Linked DNA regions of Mus musculus. The protein of the gene in region 2 purifies or fractionates together with the protein of the main gene of each other region. This does not show direct contact. Links are inferred from orthologs where the notes say so. Each region holds a gene or a part of one and is shown on either strand. Other genes may lie near its edges.

The links.
Region 1: the proteins of Sf3b6 (region 2) and Sf3b3 fractionate together in Homo sapiens (co-fractionation; 5 studies listed by BioGRID and IntAct, with this or other methods). This does not show direct contact. The link is inferred for Mus musculus from reciprocal best matches to the Homo sapiens genes SF3B6 and SF3B3.

Annotation. Positions count from the first base shown.
Region 1 is NC_000074.6:110,818,833-110,829,386, forward strand, and holds part of Sf3b3 (splicing factor 3B subunit 3), read right to left. Parts: intron 7,415-10,554; coding exon 7,263-7,414; intron 6,826-7,262; coding exon 6,670-6,825; intron 5,489-6,669; coding exon 5,333-5,488; intron 4,687-5,332; coding exon 4,543-4,686; intron 2,759-4,542; coding exon 2,636-2,758; intron 2,030-2,635; coding exon 1,875-2,029; intron 1-1,874. UniProt on the Homo sapiens protein: Component of the 17S U2 SnRNP complex of the spliceosome, a large ribonucleoprotein complex that removes introns from transcribed pre-mRNAs.
Region 2 is NC_000078.6:4,813,109-4,824,361, forward strand, and holds the start of Sf3b6 (splicing factor 3B subunit 6), read left to right. Parts: upstream 1-4,499; 5' UTR 4,500-4,681; coding exon 4,682-4,711; intron 4,712-7,485; coding exon 7,486-7,604; intron 7,605-11,253.

The DNA.
Region 1 (10,554 bases), on a different chromosome or scaffold from region 2:
AACTGAACTTAGGTCCTTTAGAAGAGCAAGCAGCCAGTGTTCTTAACGGCTTAGCCATCTCTCCAGCCCTGGGATACAATTGATGAAGGCACATTTGAACATGTTGGAAATGCCCAATTCCACCTTTATATTTTAGTATCTACAGTTCAGTAACTACAACTTCAATAAGCTACAGTGGCCACTAACTGCGACATATTTCCATTGTCACCATGAGTTGTGTGTATTCTCTTCAACCAACCTCCTTTCCATCTTACTTTTATGAGCTCACACATGGATGACAAGTTTTGATATCCCCCTGGCCCAGTCTTCATCCAAACCCTTGCATCTCCCTGATCTCCTCCTTACCACCCCCTAACCTTGTCACCTCCACTCCCTCCTATGGAATGATTCTCCTATCCCATCTCAAACCCTTTACTCCTCTACCTGAGATAACTTCCCTTCCCACCTATCAACCCTAATAGGACCCTGCTCCCTTAAGTTCCAGAGGAACCCTGAGATCAACCACTTTGTTCCTGGTCCCAGAAGAATAAGACTTCAGCCCAGAAGCTGTATTTGACTCTACTGGATTGGACACAGATTTTTCCTACTTTCTCTCTTGTCTACTTCTGTCCATGGTAACTCTTATGAATGGAGACTTGAGGTTTAAGAAATCCCCATTTATAACAAACAGTTCTTCCAAATAGGATTGGAAAAATACCACTCGGGCTATAAAACTTAGCGTACACACACAGCACCATCTGCCAAAACTAAAAGGCCTAATCCACCAAAGTCTATCATTCTGGGAAAGTCTCTAAATGTACTAACCTTGCCTTTTGGTTTCTGTAGTTCCACTTCTGGCTAACTGTCCTTGTTAACTGAAATATGTCAGCTGGGACATGGCTTTCGTGCTTTAAAACTCATCCTAAGGATGAGTTCCAACTCAGCTTGAAGATACACGAGATCGCAAACATCAGACTTTCTATTGGCTTAAACCCAAATCAGAGCAGCAGACTCTGGCAAATACTCCACAACACTTCATCATATTTCTAATTCACTTTTTCCAAAAACTGTATTTCAAAGAAAAAACAAAACCTGCCTTCACACAAAAAAATTAAGACAAATATTTATATATTACTAATAGACAAAAAGTGATTGACTAACAATAAGTACTAGAATGTTCAGTGGCCTTCTGTATTTGTGTGTATGTGCATGCATGCAACTTGAGCCCAAGTGAGCACCTGAAATTTGATCTTGAAGCCAGCCAGCATTGGCTACCTAGTAAGATTCTGTCATGAAAAATAAAGAACGAGGTTTTCATCCTAGTACTCAATAAACATAAGCAGGTGGATCTCTATGAGTTTGAGGCCAAGCTGGTCTATGTAACATGTCCTGGGCTACATGGTGAAACCATGGCTAAAAAAAGATATAATTCTATAGGTAAATCCAGATTTAACGCTTGTTCTAAAACTAGTCTTGGGATATGACCATTTCACCAGGAAACAGAAATCTTAAAGTGCAAGACTAGTTTTACAACTTAGCTCCTAAAGTCTAAACAGAAGCTAAATGCCAAATTCAAACTTGGCTCACAGTTTCTAAACGCCTGAGCCAAACTAAATTTCAGCTGCAACACTCTTTCCTGGTGAAAGGTTGTTCTCAGCCATCTCTACAAACTCCTCCAACTCTGGTAGAACCACAGGCTGAGGACTTGGCACAAAAGCTTCCTGCTGGGCTTCAAGCCTGAGGATTTTCTCTTTTCCTTTTTGTTTTTTTGAGACAGGGTTTCTCTGTGTAGCCCTGGCTGTCCTGGAACTCAGAAATCCTCCTGCCTCTGCCTCTGCCTCTGGAGTACTGGGATTAAAGGCGTGCACCACCACTGCCTGGCAGTATTTTCTCACCTCAAAGTGTTGGTGGAGATGGCAACAATGCCCTCGGGACACTGTTCAGAGGCAAAGCCCGATGCAAATTCCAGGGTCTCATAAGACAGAGGGGTGAGATGGAAGCGAGACTGGTAAGAGTAGCTCAGCCATGAGCGACTGGACATAGCCAGAACCTGGGGAGGAAGAGTTCCAATCAGACTGGACAAGCTCATACATGGTAGACTGACCAAACAAACATACAACCCAACTTTGGCCTCAAATTTTAGAAGTCTACAAAGCCACTTTAAACAAAGGGAGCCCAAACAGGCAGTACACGGCTTATTGTATAAAGAAAGGAAAAAAATAAGTAAAAAGAAAAAGAAAAAGCAAGCTTTATCAATCACATTCCTCTGGACCGACTTTCCCTTGGGTATAAATTAGAGACTCTATTCCAAGGTTGGACAGCTGTAGATGTGAATAAGGTAACGTTTAAGAACTAGCACGGCAGTGGCAGTGTTAACTCTGAACTGCGAAGAATAGGCTCTCATTCCTATTAGGTAGACTCATGAGATCACTATAATCCTTTTCCATCTCAGATAGCTAGGCCTAAATAGACTCAAAGATCAATATTCAAGCTTCCTATAACCTCATAATGCCCAGTGCCATCTCATGGACCATCTCTTAGAAAACTCCAAAGAACCCAGAATTTCCTATGTAAGTGAAACGAACATCAACCTACAAAGTGAATTAGTCAGAAGTTCACAGTGGTACCAACATCCAAATGTCTTTTGACTACTTACAGCCTCCTGGCCTTGCATCCGGACCCGGAAGAGTTTCACAGGACGGGACCCCAGATACCTAGTGCGGGTGTCAGACAGGTCCCCAGTAACAGGGTCTAGGACAGTCCTCAGCAGTACACCGTTCTAGTGGAAAAGATGGAACAGGTAAAGCCTCCTTTTTATGATGGGAACTTTTATGTTAGATTTTCCTTTGGCTACTTTAGTAGAAGACAAAGATATGACTTGGTGGCGAAAACAACATAAAACAGGTCACAGCGCCCAACAATCAGGAATTCACTCATTCTCTCCTAGTTACTAAGCATCTACTGGCAAAACCCACTTCTCATTATACATACATTTCCTGTACATTAAGAAATATTTCATTTAAGCCAGGTGGGGATTGTGCATGTCTTTTAAGCCAACACTCAAGAAACAGAGGCAGGAAAATCTCTGAGTTTGAGGCCGGTCTGTTTGGAGAGCTAGTTCCAGGACAGCCAGGGGTCAAGAAACCCCATCTCACCTCCCCATCCCCCCCAAATCATTTAAGTTAAGTACTTTTTATAATTTAAAAGCAGACCTCCGCAAAAAACAAAACAAAGAAAACAAACAATTAAAGGCTGGGATGTACTGACTATGGTACCTCTAAGCCTCATTTTCCCTAAAGGAACACGGTTCCAAGGGATGACTGATTCAAGGCTGAAGCAAGAACATTCCCAATGCAACAGTTACCTAATTGTGCAAGAAGGCAGGCAAGATAGCTGGGTCAAATAAACAAACGAATTTCAAGGGAAACCACAATCAAAAATGAAGCAAACAAAAATCTAAGAGATGACAGTAATTTGAAGAAGAAAATACCCACAAATTTATATAGTTAAAAAATAAAAATCTACCTCCAACCAACAAAATCCCTACTTCATCAGACTCAACTAGAATGACTGCTGTAATCCTAACTCCTACTGTAAAATTAGTGACTGAAGAAGGGGTTGGGAGAGAGCCATTATCCTTTTCCTGTATAAAGTATGTTTAGAGCAAAGGAATAAACCTCAATTTACAGACTTGATTACAAACATTTCAACATCACGCACCTCCAGTGGGATGCAACAGAGTAGGGCCACTTCCACTACAACAGTTACGAGTGAGTAACTGCCGTCAACGTCTATAGTCTGCACTAACTGTGATTTTTCACGAGGAAATTAAAACATGCAAAGTATCAGATATTCAGAAAGTGTTACTAATCTTGGTGGGTATGACATTACTAGTTTCTTAAAGCAAAACACTATAGAGATAACATTACTAAGTATAGGAGGGAAGAGGTACTGCCCTAGATTTGCTGTAAAATACTCCTTTAAATGGGAAAATGAAGACTCATTTGTGTGTCTCATGCTCAAGCATTTTAAAGTATGAAACTAAAACTGAAAAAGCACAAGTCTGCCATCTAACTTAAGTCTTTGCAGGTCCTGATTCAGGAAGTAAGGCACATAGCACCGTGAGAGCACCGATGCTAGTTTACACTAGATTCCTGCTTTTTGTACCATGATAAAACTCATCTCCTTTGGCTACAAAAACACCCAGGCTTCTACACACTAGAGCTAACATGGTCAATTATGAACTGGGAGGAATTCACTTTAAAAGACTAGAATACTATGGGAACTATAGGTCACTACTGAAGACTCATTTAATTCCAAACCAAAACACCTATCACAAAGCACTTTTTACCAGCTATGAAGACGCTTTGTGTGTGCTATTTCCAGGCCTGCCTAACATGTTCTAAGTGTTGAGAAAAATCAGTCTCTGACAGCACTAGATGATGAGTTTCCCAAGGCGACTATCTAGAACTACAGGCAAAGAAAATGCTTAGACTGGATAAAGAACAGGCTGATAGATACCAAAGAAGGCCTTACACCAATGTGAGCCCCTGGACATCTTACCTGTAGTCCAATGTTCAGGTACAGGAAGCCAATAGAGCCTCTCTCACCCAGCTCATCTTGTTTCTCAGTCCCACCCATTTCCACAATACATAGAGACTCAGGCTGGGCTGGGAGAGCCTGCATACTCAGAGGCTGTAAACAGTCCTAAGGAACAGAAGTGGGGAGGAAAAATTGCTGTAAGAGACAATTCTGGAAAACACATACTCACAGAAATCTGCTAGGATTGAAGGAGGATCTTTGTTGAGGAAAATGGAAACCCCAAAAGAAAACTGAGACAGTAGATGCTTATTAAATCTAAATCTCAGAGTAAGTTTTGGGGAGCTCTTGTTTATTTCTGTCAAAGTGGATAATGGTCAAAGTAAGAAAGTCATATTAGGCCCTATAATAAGTAAAATTCCTTTTTAATCACCAGTCTTAGGATTTTAAACTGAAGGCAAGGCTCCAGTGGTTTAAAGAACTTGTTGCTCTCCCAGGATCTACATGTTGGCTTGGATACTTCCTGATACAAACATGCAAGCAAAACATGAACAACATAGATAGAATCTAAAACACTACAAAAGGGATTCAAGTCTTTTGAGGAAGAAACACATAGTAGCCACAGATCAACATCCTTAAACATCCCGAGGTGTGCTATGGGAATCAAAGGCGGCAGCAGCATACACCTCACCACACTGGGTGCTTAGGATCTCACTGCTGGACAAGATGGGGGAGAGGAGAGAAAAACAATAGACACAGATTTTAGGGAGCCAGGTGCTTAGGGCCCACCCAGAAGACTAAGAATGCCACTCACTGATGGGTCGAGGGAGATGATTCTGACAGTGTTGTCCACCAGCCCCACAGCCAGGAACCGAGATCGCTGTTCTCCAGGGGGCACGTTGGCCAGACTCATGCACACCACATCTGCTGACATCTCTTTCCGCTCCGTGTACTCATTCAACTGTCCTGACTACAGGAAGAAAAACAAAATAGGTCTGTGTGCTACAATTCACCCTGTAGCTCTGGACTATGTATGAAAGGAAGATGGGCTGTTAAGACTTTTTTTAAATTTAATTTTATTTTTGCCTCCTCTCACCCCTCTTTTTGCTTCTGAGATGGGGTTTCATGTAACTATTATTAGCTACGTTCAAGGATGAACCTGAGACCATGGCCTCCTCTGAGTTCTGAGATTACAAAGGGTCTGAACACACCCTGTTTATACAGTGCTAGAGATCTATCAACTGAGCAACACTGCTAACACTGTTTTATATCTCACTCCACTTTTTAGTAAGTCAGTGACCAAGAATCTCACCATTTCAGATCCCAAAATCAACTTCACAGGTTAGTGCCCCAGAGGGAAAGAAAAAAAGCAGGATGTAGCATAAATATACACTATCCTAGACCAAGAAACAAATATATAAAGCCATTTATCTGTTCTCATCATGAGAACCCTGAACAAAGCCAGCTGTGGTAATGCAAGACTATAATTCTAGCACATGGGAAACAGAAAGGGAGACAGAAGAACAGGGTCAAGGCCAATCTAGTCTACATGAGACCATCTCAAAAACAAAACCCTTTCCTAATACACCAAAGCCAATTCAAACACAGTCAAAACAACAACAAAAATGTCAAGTCTACTAGAGATTTCTGTAGAAGGTAAGTTCTGGATACATTTTCATATAAAATAGCAAAATCAGGAATAGTAACTCATGACTAATCACAGCACTTGTGAAGTTGAGACAGGAAGACTGCTGTGAGTCACCAGCCTAGAATTCTACATTAGACTGTATCTCAAAACAAAACAAAACAAAAAACAAAAAAAGAGAAACGAGACAGAAGAAAATAAAAGAATTCTTTACCAAATATTCACTAGAAGATGAGGATGAGGTACAAAACAAGCTATTTGGCTTTCAAGAGATTTCACATCTGTAATCTGAATTAGATTTCCTAGTTTTTGTCCTTAATCTTTAAAAAAGGGGCCAAACTGTCTTGTTTGTGGACACTTCAGAGTCCCAATTCTCTTTCTTGTGAATCCATGCATGCTTAAGATACATACACTGACAACACTGCCTAAGCACAACAACAGAACCCCACCCCAAGGACCATAATGGAAGATAACACAGGGCCAGCAGAACAAAACAAGTAACATACAGGATCCATCTCGAAATAGACCAGCTCTCCCCCAGTCAGGGCGATCACCACTTGTCGCTGGTTCACTGCACACTTCACAATCGTTTTCTTGCCGGGAGTCTTCCACTCATTAACTCTTTTATCTGCTCGTATGTGTCGGATGCCATCTGGATACACCTAGAAGTCAGTCAAAGAAGAACATCTAACTAGCAATCTGATTGTCACCCAGAATGGCCCTCACACTGGCACACTGGGACCACACAAATGAGGCACTGCTTGTTTTTGAAATGTTCATGCTTTGCCACCTCAGTTGAGAAAGGTCCCAAGCCCACATGTTAATGATAAAGATGAGAAAAGCAGTGATAGGGAATGACCAACAGGGAGGAAATGTTAGGCTTCAAATTTTCCTAACTGCCGAGTTATTCAAAGCCTGAAAGGGATGAATTCTCAGTACCCCTTTTTATGTTGATAAGACATTAGACCCTCCCCTCAGGTTTTCTGGAAGGTGAGAATGAAGAAACATGAATTCAAGCACACCACAAAACAAGAGAAGGATGGGCAAAGGATGGGCAAAGGACGGACGGCCAAGGCACGCTGAGGAGGTGCACGCTCACCTGCACCAGTGCATCATCTCCTAACAAGGAGCAGGACAAGGTTGGAGTGGTGCCCAAGAAGCCAGAGTCAGTCACTTCTTCCACAGTCTCTCCGATAGATAGCACAAGTGTGGCATTCACGAAAGACACAATGATGTAGGCATCAAACTCATCTGGAAAAAAGAAAACAGAGGAGCTGTTAGGAAAAATTCAAATTTACTAGCATTAGAAAGGCAGTTGAGACACAACAGTTTTAGAAACCTTTCACAACACTTCTATGTGCAGTCACTACACACATGCACACACAAAACAGAATGTTCAAAAGACGATTGGCTGTCCTAGCAACCTACAAGTAAATGCCCAAACACGCTGAGTATAAATGTCTGAAGACTAGTATTTCCTTCAGGTATTTGGAAAAGAGACGATAAAAATAAAATAATAATAATAAAACATATAAGAAAACCTTAAGTAACTGTGTGAAAAACTAGAGCAAATCTATTTGTGCCAATTGCTGACTGACTGATGGGGTATTATGTAGCCCAGGCTGGACTCAAACTCAATATACAGCCAAAGATGACTTTGAACTTCTGACTCTACTTTCCTTAGCACTAGAACTATACATAGGTGTGCCACCATGCCTGGCTTATGATGTGCTGGAGATTGGAACTGAGTTTCCTGCATGACAGGCAGCTGAGTTAATCCTGCCTGATTCCAACCCACTTAAGGGACATTTTAAGAGAAGAGATCAGCCAGGCGTGGTGGGGTACTCTGTGAATCTGAGCACTCAGGAGGCAGAAAAAAGTGGATCTCCAAGTTTGAGGACACCAAGGCTATGTCTCAAAACAAACAGACAAAAAAACCTCACCAAAACAACAACAAAAACACCCCCCAAAAAAACCAAAAAGATACCCAAGCACTAACTTCTTCTAAAGGGAGCGAATGCAAACATATATATATATATAATCTTTAGTGAAGAAAATGACTACTTGAGGGTTGAACATGTTTGGTTTTTCGAGGGCTGGAGCCTGGGAATCCTAATCCCACTGAGAAGAGAGAGCACCAGTTACCCAGGAAATGGGGGAAGGGCAAATGTTGATAGTCAGTGCCTGACCTCTAGGGCTTTTCTGTTTAAAATTGTTAGCAACACAGTGGTTACAAGCAATCTTACTAGAATTTGCTTTTCATAATGTTGTTTAATAAACAAACACTAATGAGTTTCTCAAGGTCTTAAGATCTGAGTTCTATAAAGGCAATCTTAATCTCCTGCCCAACCCCATTGCTAAAGGCCATCTATTTCCCATACCTTCACTCCACAGTATAAAATAACTTCTGAGTTGCCTACGTCAACAATATAGAACACCGGATATATACTGAATAAAGTTACATTTACTGCTTTCATAAGTTTTTTCCCACTCAGTATCTGTATTTCTATATCAACTTTTGAGTGTCATTTTGTGCCCAACACAGAAATCAGTGAAACAAAGGACAGAACAACAGAGTAAGGCACTAAACTTGATTGGCAGCTACAGGGCTCTACTCGCCCCGAGCCTTGTCAGAGCTCGATGCCACAAGACTAACCTACTTACTCCATACACATCAAGGACCATTTTTAGTTTGTATTACTCCAGATTATTATCAGAACTACTTTAATCAGCGTTCTTTATAGGAGGGTGAAGGCACATCACTGGTGCAGCCTACACAGGACTCTGACCTATTAGCAGGACGTACAGTTTGGTGATTGTAATCAGTATTTTATTATAGAAATAATGGTATGTGACTGTTTCACACAGTAAGGGTTAAATGCTGTTAATAAAACTTCCAGTTAATAATACACATATACAACATGGCTAGCAAAAAGTAAGAATCAAAGATCTTTCCCAACCCACCACGCAGTTCAAATGATAAATGGACAGACAGGTAACCCATAAAGCATATATACAATGTTAGAGAGCAGTGCTAGACCAGACACTTGGTTTTTGATTGTACTGTCAGCAAATGCTTTGGAAAATCATTTACAATGATTTTACATGTCGAGCCCTGCTTGCTATCATGACATGTCTCAGAGCATGAAGGCGCTGTTCAGGCCTGGTGTTCCAAGTTCCACTCACAAAAGCCACATAAGGATGGACAGAGAGAACCAACTCCACAGAGCTGACCTGTGAACTCCACATGCACATGGTGTCACACATGCCCACACATACACTATAACAAGTAAATACTTTTAAAAAGGAAATTAGGATATGGTTGTTCCTAAATGGATTTCCAATAGCTTACGAAGACCTAAACTGATCTCAACATGACATCAAACTTAAAACTTTACTCCAGCTCTGAACTTTTGACTTGGAAATTTCTGACATGTAGTAAGAAACTGTTTATTTTTATGAGAACACTACATCATCTCCCGTGTTCCCATTTACTGTACCTTCAAAGCTGTGTGATACTAAATTACAGCAAACTAATTAAGGACTTTAACCAGCTACAATTTTCAGTGTCTCCCCTCACTTGAGAGGAAAGCAGTGTCTTTGGGAGAAATCACGCGGTTCTTTCCTTGCTGCTTTTACTGTTTACACCTTCCCTTTAGCCACAAGACCCGACTACTCAGATATAAAGGAAATGCTCAATTAACAGCAGGCACTTTGTCTAAATAATTCCACAAGGAAGAGAGCAATGACTACTGCTTTAAAAATCCCTTTAACCACAGCTTCCCTGAATACCAACCACACTGGAACTTCTACCATTGCCATTCCCAGCAATGAAGTCCTGAGACACATTAATAGTCTTAGGGAGATTACAGACCTTAAAAGTTGACATTCAATACCAAAAATCAAGCTTCAGACACTGTTATTACTAGGAATTATAAATATTCACAATGTCTTTTTCGTCCTGTCTCAGTGAGGGCTCTCTCAGGGAAAGAGAACGCCTCTGTAGGGCCAAGTTCAGTATATTTCCTTTTCCATTTCTGAGCACTGTACAGCAACCATGAGAGACAATGCTGTACCTTTCTTACCTTACTAAATTATTATTAGCCGTCTCCAAACAGTAACATGGCCCCAGTGGAGATGACCAAGCTTCCTGTGTATCATTCACACGTGGTATTCAGAGTACCTGGCTCTTATCTCACCTTAGTTTAATGTATTATAGACTCAAAATGTTTTCTCCAGGACCTAATCTGTCAGTCGAGACATCTGGAATGGATAATTCCAAAGGAGAATGAAGCTGTGGTTTGCTTGTTACATGTTCTTTCAGGTTCATAAAAGCCAAACTATTCCTACTGTCCAGAGGGGCTAATTCCTGCTTTAGACCAGATGATGAG
Region 2 (11,253 bases):
TCAAGCTGCAGCCACCCCAGAGGTCTGGATTACAGCCTTTCAGATGTCACTTCTTGAGAAAGCTTGATGCTCATTTCCATAGCACGGCTCATTCCATAGTAAGCCAACTTCTCTGAGCCCCAGCAATCCTCTAGGACACCCATTACCCTGCCCTGAAGGATCACTGAAGGCCATGGCCATCAAACCATGCTAGATGGCTTGCTATGGGGGCTGGGAGCCAAAGTTAGCAGATAGGAGGTCTGTGCACATCTTAACACGAGACCCAGGAGCAATCTGAACCTCACATCATGCGGACTTGTCTTTAGGGCAACAGAGGAAGACTTGGACTGTGTCTCAGAGGTAGAACATTTTCTTAGCATGCTCAGGGGCCCAGACTTTGGTCCTCAACAGTGAAAAAGAAAAGGATTTCTTCAGTATATTTTGTATTTTGGATAGAGATGATGGATGTGGCTACAATATTTTTGTAACTAAAGCCCATTTTCCACTTGATCAGAGACAATAAGGAACACACACACACACAAGGAAAGAAAAAGAAAAGAGAGAGGCAGAGATGGAGAACTGTCAATGCACCCCTTCAAAATGCAAGCTACTTGGCATTTGGTCCAAGGGTCAGCTGATGTACACAGGCTATTTCTATACTTGGACAGAAGAGAAAGTTTCCACAGTTTCTCTGCTTTCCATCCCAGGCCATGTTCAGGCTGGAGGCTTTGTGCTGATCCACGGAGATGAAGTGAAGCGGTCACAGCTGTCATCCAGCTGGCTCGGGGTGCTGGCACTGTTCTTCTGGTTAGAGCTGGCTTCCAGCATAAGCTTCAAATGGCAAGGAAGCTCATGGCTGCAGCTGGATTCAGTTATAGAGAAGATTTTTCTGAAACAACTCTAAGATTCATTAAAGGTAAGGCACTCACAGCTCAGTGGGCACCGAAAGATGATGCAGCACAGACTAATCTAGAGATGGTCAAAAAGGGGCCAGGATGGGAACCCGGGAAGCAGGTGTATATGTGTGTGTGTGTTTGTGTGTGTGTGTTCTAATACCAAATCTGAATATTTTTGAAGACAAGGTTTCCTGTATTCATGCTGGCCTCAAACGCACAGTAGTAGAGTGACCTTGAGATTCTGGTTCTCCGACCTCTCATCTCTTGAGTGCTGGGATTATAGATGTGCACCATCTTGCCTGGATTATGTAACTCTGGGGGTCAAAGCTGTCTTAGTTAGGGTTCTACTGCTGTGAACAGATACCATGACCAAGGCAACTCTTATAAGGACAACATTTAACTGGGGCTGGCTTACAGATTCAGAGGTTCAGTCCATTATCATCAAGGCTGGAGCATGGCAGCATCTCATGGCAGGCATGGTGCAGGCAGAGCTGAGAGTTCTACATCTTCGTCTGGAGGCTGCTATGGGAATACTGATTTCCAGGAAGCTAGGATGAGGCTCTTACGCCTATGCCCACAATGACACACTTACTCTCAAAGGCCACACCTCCTAATAGTGCCACTCCCTGGGCCAAGTATATACAAACCATCACAAAAAGCCAAGGCTTCATGCATGGTAGGCAGACACTATACCAACTGAGCTACATTTTAGCACAAATCTGTCTTTTTTTTCCCCCATTCATCTTTTTCCATTTTCCTTGTGAGTAGAAAGGGAGAGATGAGAACAAAGCTGACAGCCCCTGCAGACCTGGAGTGGCATTTGCTACTTTGTGGGTTCTCTTTTTTCTACCCTTCTCCATTCCTTTTCTTCTACCCTTTCAACCCCCTAATGCTAGATAGGGGAGAAACAAGGATAGAGAGGAAGGGGGACAGAGTCATAGGTTGACTACTTCCTGCTGGTTAGGGCCATTGCTCTCCTTGGGGCAAGTTTAATCTTCCCATTCAGGATACCTAATTTCCTCTTGTTTCTTCTTTGTGCACAACTACTTAAGCCATGATAAACCAACAACTCACCTGCCTCTCAGGGCCCTAGCATTTACATTTCCCTTTGAAGGAGGAGTCCCCAGAATTCTAAACATCATGTGGTCTCAGAAACTGCCTGCAGCTGACAAATCCCACCCCCGCAGGAGCACAAGGCCAGTCCTAGTCAGCGGCTGTGGACAATCTAAAGCAGCCCATAGGCCTCACCTGGATGAAAATGAAAACATATTCCCATAATATGTCTGTGATTGTCAAAGAGACCAAAGTTTTCACTACACAGACCCGCTAAGTTAGATGTGGACGATCAGTCTGCTCTGGGTCTGGAACAGGACTTCCTCTTTTCCACTCTTACCCATGCCTGGCTGCCGTGGGAATGGATTTATTGGGGGGGGGGGGGATGAGACAAAATACCAGGTGTTGGTGTAGTTATTCCCACCTCTGTGATAAGGTGGGGAACAGGGACTCAGGTAGGAGATGCACAAAGTAACACATGCTATTATAATTCCACTCACTACAGTCTTTCTATGCACGATGTAACACATGCTATTATAATTCCACTCACTACAGTCTTTCTATGCACGATGTAACACATGCTATTATAATTCCACTCACTACAGTCTTTCTATGCACGATGTAACACATGCTATTATAATTCCACTCACTACAGTCTTTCTATGCACGATGTAACACATGCTATTATAATTCCACTCACTACAGTCTTTCTATGGCCAGTGCTTCAGGTCCAACCGTACTTGCCTCCTGCGCTTGTAGTGATTTGTTATTTTCAGGCAAGGCCTCAATAGGTAGCCCAGGCTAGCCTTAAGCTCGAGCTTTCCCTGCTTCAAACTCCACGTGCTGGGGTTATAGGCACGCACAGCCACACCTATGTTTATCTTTACTCACATGTCCAGAGATATACCTTGAAACCTTATGAGTACCAATGCTTGCGTTTAACATGACTACCAATCTCTCTCCTTTGGAAGGTGCTGATCCTATTAGGAGAAGAATGTCAACTGCCCAGCTCTTGATGGTTGCTGGGCTCTCTGTGGCTTAATAGTAGGAGCTGTTGTTAGTTTTAGTGGGCCCTGTTTTTAAAACTACTTCTTTGTTTGTTTGGGTTTTTTTGTTTGTTTGTTTTTTGAGACAGAGTTTCTCGGTATAGCCCTGGTTATCCTGGAACTCACTTTGTAGACCAGGCTGGCCTTGAACTCAGAAATCTGCCTGCCTCTGCCTCCAGAGTGCTGGGATTAAAGGCGTGCGCCACCACGCCCAGCCTTTAAAACTACTTTTTAAATGAGGTAGTCGGATCACTAGTTTGCTCGATCTAGGGATAATGAGGTGGGTGGTAAGTGAAAGAAAGTAGGATTGTCACCCAGAAAACTGCCTTTGTACAAACAGCTTGCTTTAGGGAGCCTATAAATAAGTCTGCTACCTTGTGTACCAATTGGTAACTGTGTTCAGATAATTAATTCTCTAAACCCTCCCACGTATTTCTATACTTCATATTTATATGTTTCTATCAGAATGAGCAAAAACATGGCCACAGTATTAAGTCTTCACATAGGCCCACGGCTTTGTTTTCAGGGTAGACCTCTTCTCAGTATACCAAAAAAGCCTATGTAAGCTTGGACCTTCGACAGGTTTATGTTCCTAAAATCCTCTGTAGCATCATAGAAGGAGCCAGCTTTGGGAGTATATCCCATCAGTTTCGCAGCGATAAGGCTTCAGCATTCCTTTTGTGTTAAGCTATGTAAGTCTGTCACTTGCACTAGTATTTTACTGCAGCCTTCAGTCTTACCTGGTACAGAATGAGGGTGCACATTTGAAAGCATGCTCTTTCCTGATGGGAAGTGAAAGGGTGTGCTGTTTTAGATACTCAAAACATTAGGGCTAGGCAGGATGGAGAATAACAGGGTTAAGGCCTTTCTTCAGGCTGATAATCTTTTCCTTAGTACAAACGCCGGTGAAAACCTCCACGGAGCAGATTCTGCCTTTCTCTGCAAACAGCCCCCAACGTCTGCTGCTGGTTCTTGATAGAGTCTACCCGGCAACTTATATTCAAGTGGCTAATATGTGGGGGCTAACAGGAGCGCGGGCAAAATCGTCTTGGAGCTGCCCTAGTGAAGGAGGACCTCCGAGCAAACTCGGAAGTGGCCTCTCTTCCCATGTCCTGTAAAGCTGGTCTAAGGAAATAAAAAGATGCATGTGACGGGTTGTGTGCTCTGTTTGCGTGGACAGGGGCCGCGGGAACCGGGTGAGGGAGTTCGACGGTCAGGTGAAGCGCGACCTGAGGCCCAGGGCCCCGGGATCGGCCTTCCGAGCAAAGTTCAGATTGGGACCTCTGTTGGAAGCGCTGGCGAGCCGGGTTCCTCTCCGAGACCTGGGCGCGCTAAATCGCAGGCTCTGGGTCTGATCTCTCTCATGGACCCCGCCCCTCGCTCCTTAAGCCACACCCCCTCAAGCGGAACACCTCCCTTCCCTTGGCATTCGCCCCGCCCCTTCCGGTCCGCAATCCGGAAGCGTTCTGGAGCTTGCTAGTTCGCTTTCCGGCTTGAGAATGCGTTCTCTGTAGTGTGACTTGGAGCATCTTTTCTAGGAAGTAAACGCGTCCTAATTTGAGACGCGGACTTTCCGGCATTGCTGTAAAAGCTTCCGGCGCTACCTGGCTGTAAATACTCTGTATCTGACGCCGTGTCGCCCACGAAGGCGATCAGGTTTAGAAATATCCAGAGGGATCTTACGGTAACCTACATCAGCCCGCCAAGATGGCGATGCAAGCGGCTAAGAGGGCGAATGTGAGTACCCCGCTTTCTGCGTGACAGGGAAGCGATGTTGTTGCTTGACTGTTGCTGCGTGCCTGGGGAGCGTTTTTTGTCCCTCCGCCCATAGTTGGGGAAGCTTGTTATCAGTTCTGTCAAAGGAGGTTCTGTCCTGGGCTCGTCCTCAGGGGTGTGTTCTTTGAGCGACTTTTCGCCCCACCCCTATTGAGAGCCCCCTGGCATCAGTGACCTCGTAACGCCTAGGACCAGGCGTTAGGCTCTTCTGAGTCCAAAAAGACATACGGAGTAACTATTTGGTTCCTTGCCAGCTGGAGCCTGGGATTTTTCTCGAATGTAGAACTTTGGGAATCCTCTATTAATATTATGTAAGCACCTGCTTTGTCTCTTGTCTTACAAACGGGAAGCAATTCATCAGTTGGGTTTATTCAACACTACTGTGTAAAGGACTAGTCGGGCTTATGTTCTACTGTTGTCAGTGAGTGTTACCAAAACCTTTAAGGAAAAAAAAAAACATCTTTCAGGAAATTAAGAAGTGGTTAAAACTTAGAATCACACCAAAACAAAGACACATAATTGACCATTGGATATCCTGATGAAGATTTTGGGCAACCGCGATTATGTGAATCATTTCAGTGAATGAAAACTTAGTTCCTGTAAAATAAAAAGATGGTAGGAGTTAGGACAAAACTGTAGAGCTGATTCTATGATTTTTCTTATTAATAGAGAAATTGAATTGTTTTAAAGATACCTACAGTGCTTTTTATAGACCAACGAGAGTGAGCCAACATAATGGTAGAGACCTGATATGTAAGATTCCAGAGTAAAACTGGAATGTGGCTCAGTGATTGCCTAGTGGGCGTGAGTCTGGATTTGACTCCCAGCACCTCAAACCATGACAACCAAAAATAAGTAAAGAGGGGAGTGGTTGGTACACCAATAGAAGAAAAAAATGGTTGGATGGACATAGATGGATAAAGTTTACAATAGGAATATATAGTTACCATTTGATCATATCTGTTTTCTTCAAGAAGTGTGGAGCCCCGGGTCATATCCTATGTTGGCTGAGAAGAGTATAGAGCCTTTTCAAATTTTACAGGGGATGATGATGGTGAAGTTTTAGGAGAGAAGAGAGAGACATACACAGTGTTTTACACAGTGAAAAAGCAGATTTACTGGAGAAATATATTTGTGTGGCAGTTGTTGATTATCAAACTTGACCTGGAAATCTTAAACTTTTATAGTCTGTCTAATTATCACCACTACTCATTTGAAGGTAGGGATAAGCGTTTTTACTTTCATGTTTGTTTATTATTGTATGTGCACATGTAGAGGCCAGACGACAATTTGTGGGAGTCGGTTCTCTCCATGTGGATTCCAGGGATTGACAGCTCACCAGGCTTGCTGGCGAGGGCCAGCTCACCAGCCTGAGGGCAAATATCTTATCCTTTCATTCATATAATGCTTAGCTTCATACCAAAAGCCGTGTTGGTTTAATAAGTGATTACTGAAAATGTTTTGTCTGAGCTGGGCATGGTGGTGGCGGCGCATGTCTTTTATCCCAGCACTCGGGAGGCAAAGGCAGGCGGATTTCTGAGTTCGAGGCCAGCCTGGTCTACAGAGTGAGTTCCAGAACAGCCAGGGCTACACAGAGACACCCTGCCTCATAAAACCAAAAAAAAAAAAAAAGAAAGAAAGAAAGAAAATGTTTTGTCTGGTATGTAATTGACTGTAGTAGCAAAGAGGGACGTGTGAGTCAGCTGTAGAGGAAGAAGGCTAAGAGTGAGGAGTGTACAGCAGGTTCAGACAGGCAACAGACCGGGCCACAGTATCAATGTCACAGATAGGAGGAACAACAAGAAGGGTGAGAGTGAAGAGTGTATAGCAGGTCAAGACAAGCCACAAACTGGGGCACAGTATCAATGTCACTGATAGGAGGAACAACAGCCAGGCCCCTAAAAGGCTGACAAGGGAACGCTGGAATGAAAAGATGTTAGTAAAGACACTTTCAAGTGGTAGCTCAGGTCTGGGTGTCCTATAAAGAAGATGAGTCAGTCAGGACAGACTTTCCTTTGCAGCCTGCATGACTGAAAACAGAAGCAAGATTTAAAAAAAGGTAGAGCTGGAAAGTGCAGGGAAGGTAGACACCTTGTCTTTCATTCAAGGCATCTCTCTTAGTACCTAGCTCACTGTGTACATTTAAAAGGCACTTAGTAGCTGGGCAGTGGTGGCGCACGCCTTTGATCCCAGCACTCAGGAGGCAGAGGCAGGTGGATGTCTGACTTCGAGGCCAGCCTGGTCTACAGAGTGAGTTCCAGGACAGCCAGGGCTACACAGAGAAACCCTGTCTCAAACCTCCCCCCGCCCCAAAAAAAAGGCCCTTAGTAACTGTTTGATGCATAAGTGAAGAGGAGCCCAGTACTTTGTTTTGTGTGGATTGGGAGGACCAGATCAGCTGCTCAACTGGGGACTAGAAACTGGTGAGAAGGGAAAGCCTGTAAGAACAAGAGAAGTCACTGATGCAGGCTCCTAAGCCATGAGAAGGCGTATGAGTGGGATTCACTGTCCTTTCTTCCCCACGAGACACTAAGGATGGATGTGTAAGTGAAGTGGGGATCCTTGTTAAGTAGAGCGGGGTTTTAGTTGCTCCTGACAGTCTTCCCTCTGCTGACTTCCTGAGGAGCATCCGGTGGTAGCTCTTACTCTTGGCTTCTTCTTTGGCATCACTGGGGTCTTTACCATGACTGCGCACTGCTGTCCTTCAGTATAATGATCCTTATTTCTCATTTTAGATTCGCCTCCCACCTGAAGTAAATCGGATTTTGTATATAAGGAATTTGCCATACAAAATCACAGCAGAAGAAATGTATGATATATTTGGGAAATATGGACCTATTCGTCAAATCAGAGTGTAAGTTTTTCTAAGTCTTATAATATCACTTAAAGGATATGGTTGTCTAATCGGTAATCTCCTCCGAGTTGTAGCTCGCAGCAGGACTGCACTGTATGGTGTGCAGTGATGTGTCTGCTTTGCAGTGAGACTACAAGACCCTTGAGTAAAAGTTCCTTTCTAGTATCATGTAATATTTAGTGATAACATCTTGTAATTCTGAATCAAACCATTAAACTACAGTACCTAAATTTGTGCCATTTAAGGGCCCCTCTGGAAGGATTTTTAAAGCTTTTATTTTTTCAGTCATAATGTTTCTCTTCAGGAAGGCACCATTGAAAAGGTCCTGTGGGTTTGAACCCAGGACCCTGTACATGCTAGACAGGCTCTAATCCCAACCCCACTATATATATTTTTTATAAGTTTTCTGAAGCAAGAGTGGTGGGCCACACCTATAATCTCAGTTTGTGCATAGAGGCAAGGGTTAAAAGTGATTCTCATCTATACAGGGATTTTGAGGTCAGCCTGATTTTTTTAAGACCATAGCTCAAGTCAAGCTGAAGATTTTCTTTTTATAACCTCAGAGCCCCTTCCTGGCTTTTAAGACCATGAGAACCTGAAGCCTTTGCTTTCAAATGACCACCATCTCTCCTGGGAGTAAACTGCTTCCTGGGAATATACCATCATTTGTGATGTATTCCCATTAGTAGCCAAATGAGGATGAAACAAAAATACCATAGAAGGAGTGCTCTCTTTAGGAGGTCTCAGTTCTCTGAACAGCTGCTAAGGACTTTGTAATCCCTACTGAATACATTTTGTCTGTATTTTGAGGAATGCAAGAATTCTAGGTCCTTCAAAGAACAAATAAAATATGTAGATAGTCTCTGATTTGAGAGCCAGGAAACAAGGGTTTGCCTTTAATGCCTGTAACTAGCCATGTGCCAAGCAGCAAGGCTTGTTAGGTTTTTCTTCTGTAAGATAATTTGGATGGTGGCCCTTTGGTCCTCAATGAGAAGGCAGTGTGATAAATCGACTGCATCGGTTGTTAGACCTGAGTTCAGATACTAACAGTCTTTCAAGTTTAAGTAAACCTGGGCAGAGTGTTTCATCTGTCTAGGCTTCAGTTCTCCATGAGCTTGGGTCAAGTTGCACAGTCTGTACATCCAATCACTCTCCATAAAGCCACGGAACCTCTGTCCATCCCTTAGTTACATCTAAGGCTTATTAGTTAATACATGCTCATGTTACTGCCCATGAACTCAACTGTCTTTCTTGGCAGAGGTGACAGCCTCCAGGCTTTGTGTTGATAGCATTGCTGCATGATCCATAGTAACCTCCCATACACACACACACGCAAATGAATAGGACTGGGGTACAGCTTATTAGTTGAGTGTGCAAGGCCTTGAGTTCAATCCTCAATAAAAAGAAAATAAATAAAATAATAGCATGGCTGTGATTAACTTATGAAGGCATTATAAAGCTTACTTATAGCACTCACTTGAGAAAAGTTTAAGTCAGCGTTAGAGAATGCTACCAAAACGACAACATAAGAACTAGTCATGGTAGCCGGGCATGGTAGTACACGCCTTTAATCCCAGCACTCAGGAGGCAGACACAGGAGGACCTCTGAGTTCGAGGCCAGCCTGGTCTACAGAGTGAGTTCCAGGACAGCCAGGGCTACACAGAGAAACCCTGTCTCGAAAAATCAAAAAAAAAAAAAAAAAAGAACTAGTCATGGTAGAACACACCTGTAATCAGAGCCATATTGGAAACAGAGGCAGAAAGACTGCAAGTTTGAGACCAGTCTGGGCAGTAAAGTGTGGCAAATTCAATACGTCAGGGGTTACAGCTTGGTAGTAGAGGCAGCCAAAGCATGAGCAGAGCCACAGTAGCTCAGGGCCTTGGCTTCCAAGCTTCTCTCAGGCTGCTCGGCTCCTTCTCAGCCTAGTCTCAGCTTCAGGAAAGACTTTTCAGAGAGGTTCCCCCTGTCACAGCTCTCCTTTCCTCATGTGGCTCCATATGATCTGGGATTCATACTTTTTGGGGGGGGGGGTTCGAGACAGGGTTTCTCTGTGTAGCCCTAGCTGTCCTGGAACTCACTCCGTAGACCAGGCTGGCCTCAAATTCAGAAATCCGCCAGCCTCTGCCTCCCAAGTGCTGGGATCAAAGGCATGTGCCACCACGCCCAGCGATTCATATTTTTTGTGTAATGTTTTTCTCTTGCTTGAAGGAAGGAAGGAAGGAAGGAAGGAAGGAAGGAAGGAAGGAAGGAAGGGAGGGAGGAAGGAAGGAAGGGGTGATGTCTACCTTTCACTGTTGGTTCTGCTGCTCATCCTTGGAGAATGCAGTGATTGTTGAATAAAGTCATAGAATGTTGAGGCACAAGAGCCTGGATCTTAACTGTGGAGTGAGAAACAGTGGGTCTTCTGTTCCCTCTGTGATCAGCCTCTGTTGCTTACTAGGTGCCAAGCACCCTGCCAGTACTGATTTGGGTTTTTTCAGAGAGGGTTTCTCTTTATCCCTGGCTGTCCTAGAACTCTGTAGACCAGGCTGGCCTTGAACTCAGAGACTGGCTTGCCTCTGCCTCCTGAGTGCAGGGATTAAAGATGTGGGCCACCACCACCAGCTAGTACTGACTTTCTACAATGGAATTTGGTAAAACCTAGCCATGCTTCTTCATGCACCAGGACAACTGATCACACTCTACCTGACATGTAGTAGTCACATGGTACTTTGTATTCTTTACAGCCTTTTAACATTGTTACCTTTCCTATTACAATCCTTCATAGGGGTTGGAAAGATGACTCTGGGGTTAAGAGTGCTTCCTGCTATTCCAGAGGGCCCAAAGTTCTGTTCCCAACACTCGCTTTGGGTGGCTCACAGCTGCCTGTAGCTCTGGTTCCAGTTGGGTCGTATATCACGTCTGGCCTCCCAAGGGCACCTGCTCTACATATATCATGCACATTTTTTTGTTTTGTTTTCTTCTTTGAGATAGGGTTTCTCCTTGTAGCAGTGGCTGTCCTGGAACTCTGTAGACTCAGAGATCTGCCTGTCTCTGCCTTCTGAGTGCTGGATTAAAGGTGTGCAACACTACTGCCTGACACATATAAATCATTTTTAAAAACACATATAATATAGGACAAATGATACTGAAATCAGTATATGATGTCAAGTAGCTGAAGCTAGAAAGGCTAAATTGTGGGTGAGGTTTTTAATTTCTGTTTACTACCAGTCAAGAAAATGTTACTGAGCTCAGTGCTCAATACATGGCACATTCCAAATACATGCTTTTTTTTGGGGGGAGGGGGATTCAAGACTGGGTTTCTCTGTATAGCCCTGGCTGTCCTAGAACTCACTTTGTAGACCAGGCTGGCCTTGAACTCAGAAATCCGCCTGCCTCTGCCTCCCGAGTGCTGGGATTAAAGGCGTGCGCCACCACGCCTGGCCCAAATACATGCTTTTAAAATTCAAATTATAATGTAGATTTCGAGGTGTGAGGTTGATAATGAGAGCTGGGACCCCTGAAATGGAGAATGTATAAAATCAGGTTAAGGGCTGGTTATATATAGTTCAGTTGTAGAACACTTGCCTAGTACGTGAAAGGACTCCAGTTTAATCCCTGGAACATAAAAAAAGAAAAAAGAAAAAAAGAATGTGGTTAGGCTTTGTC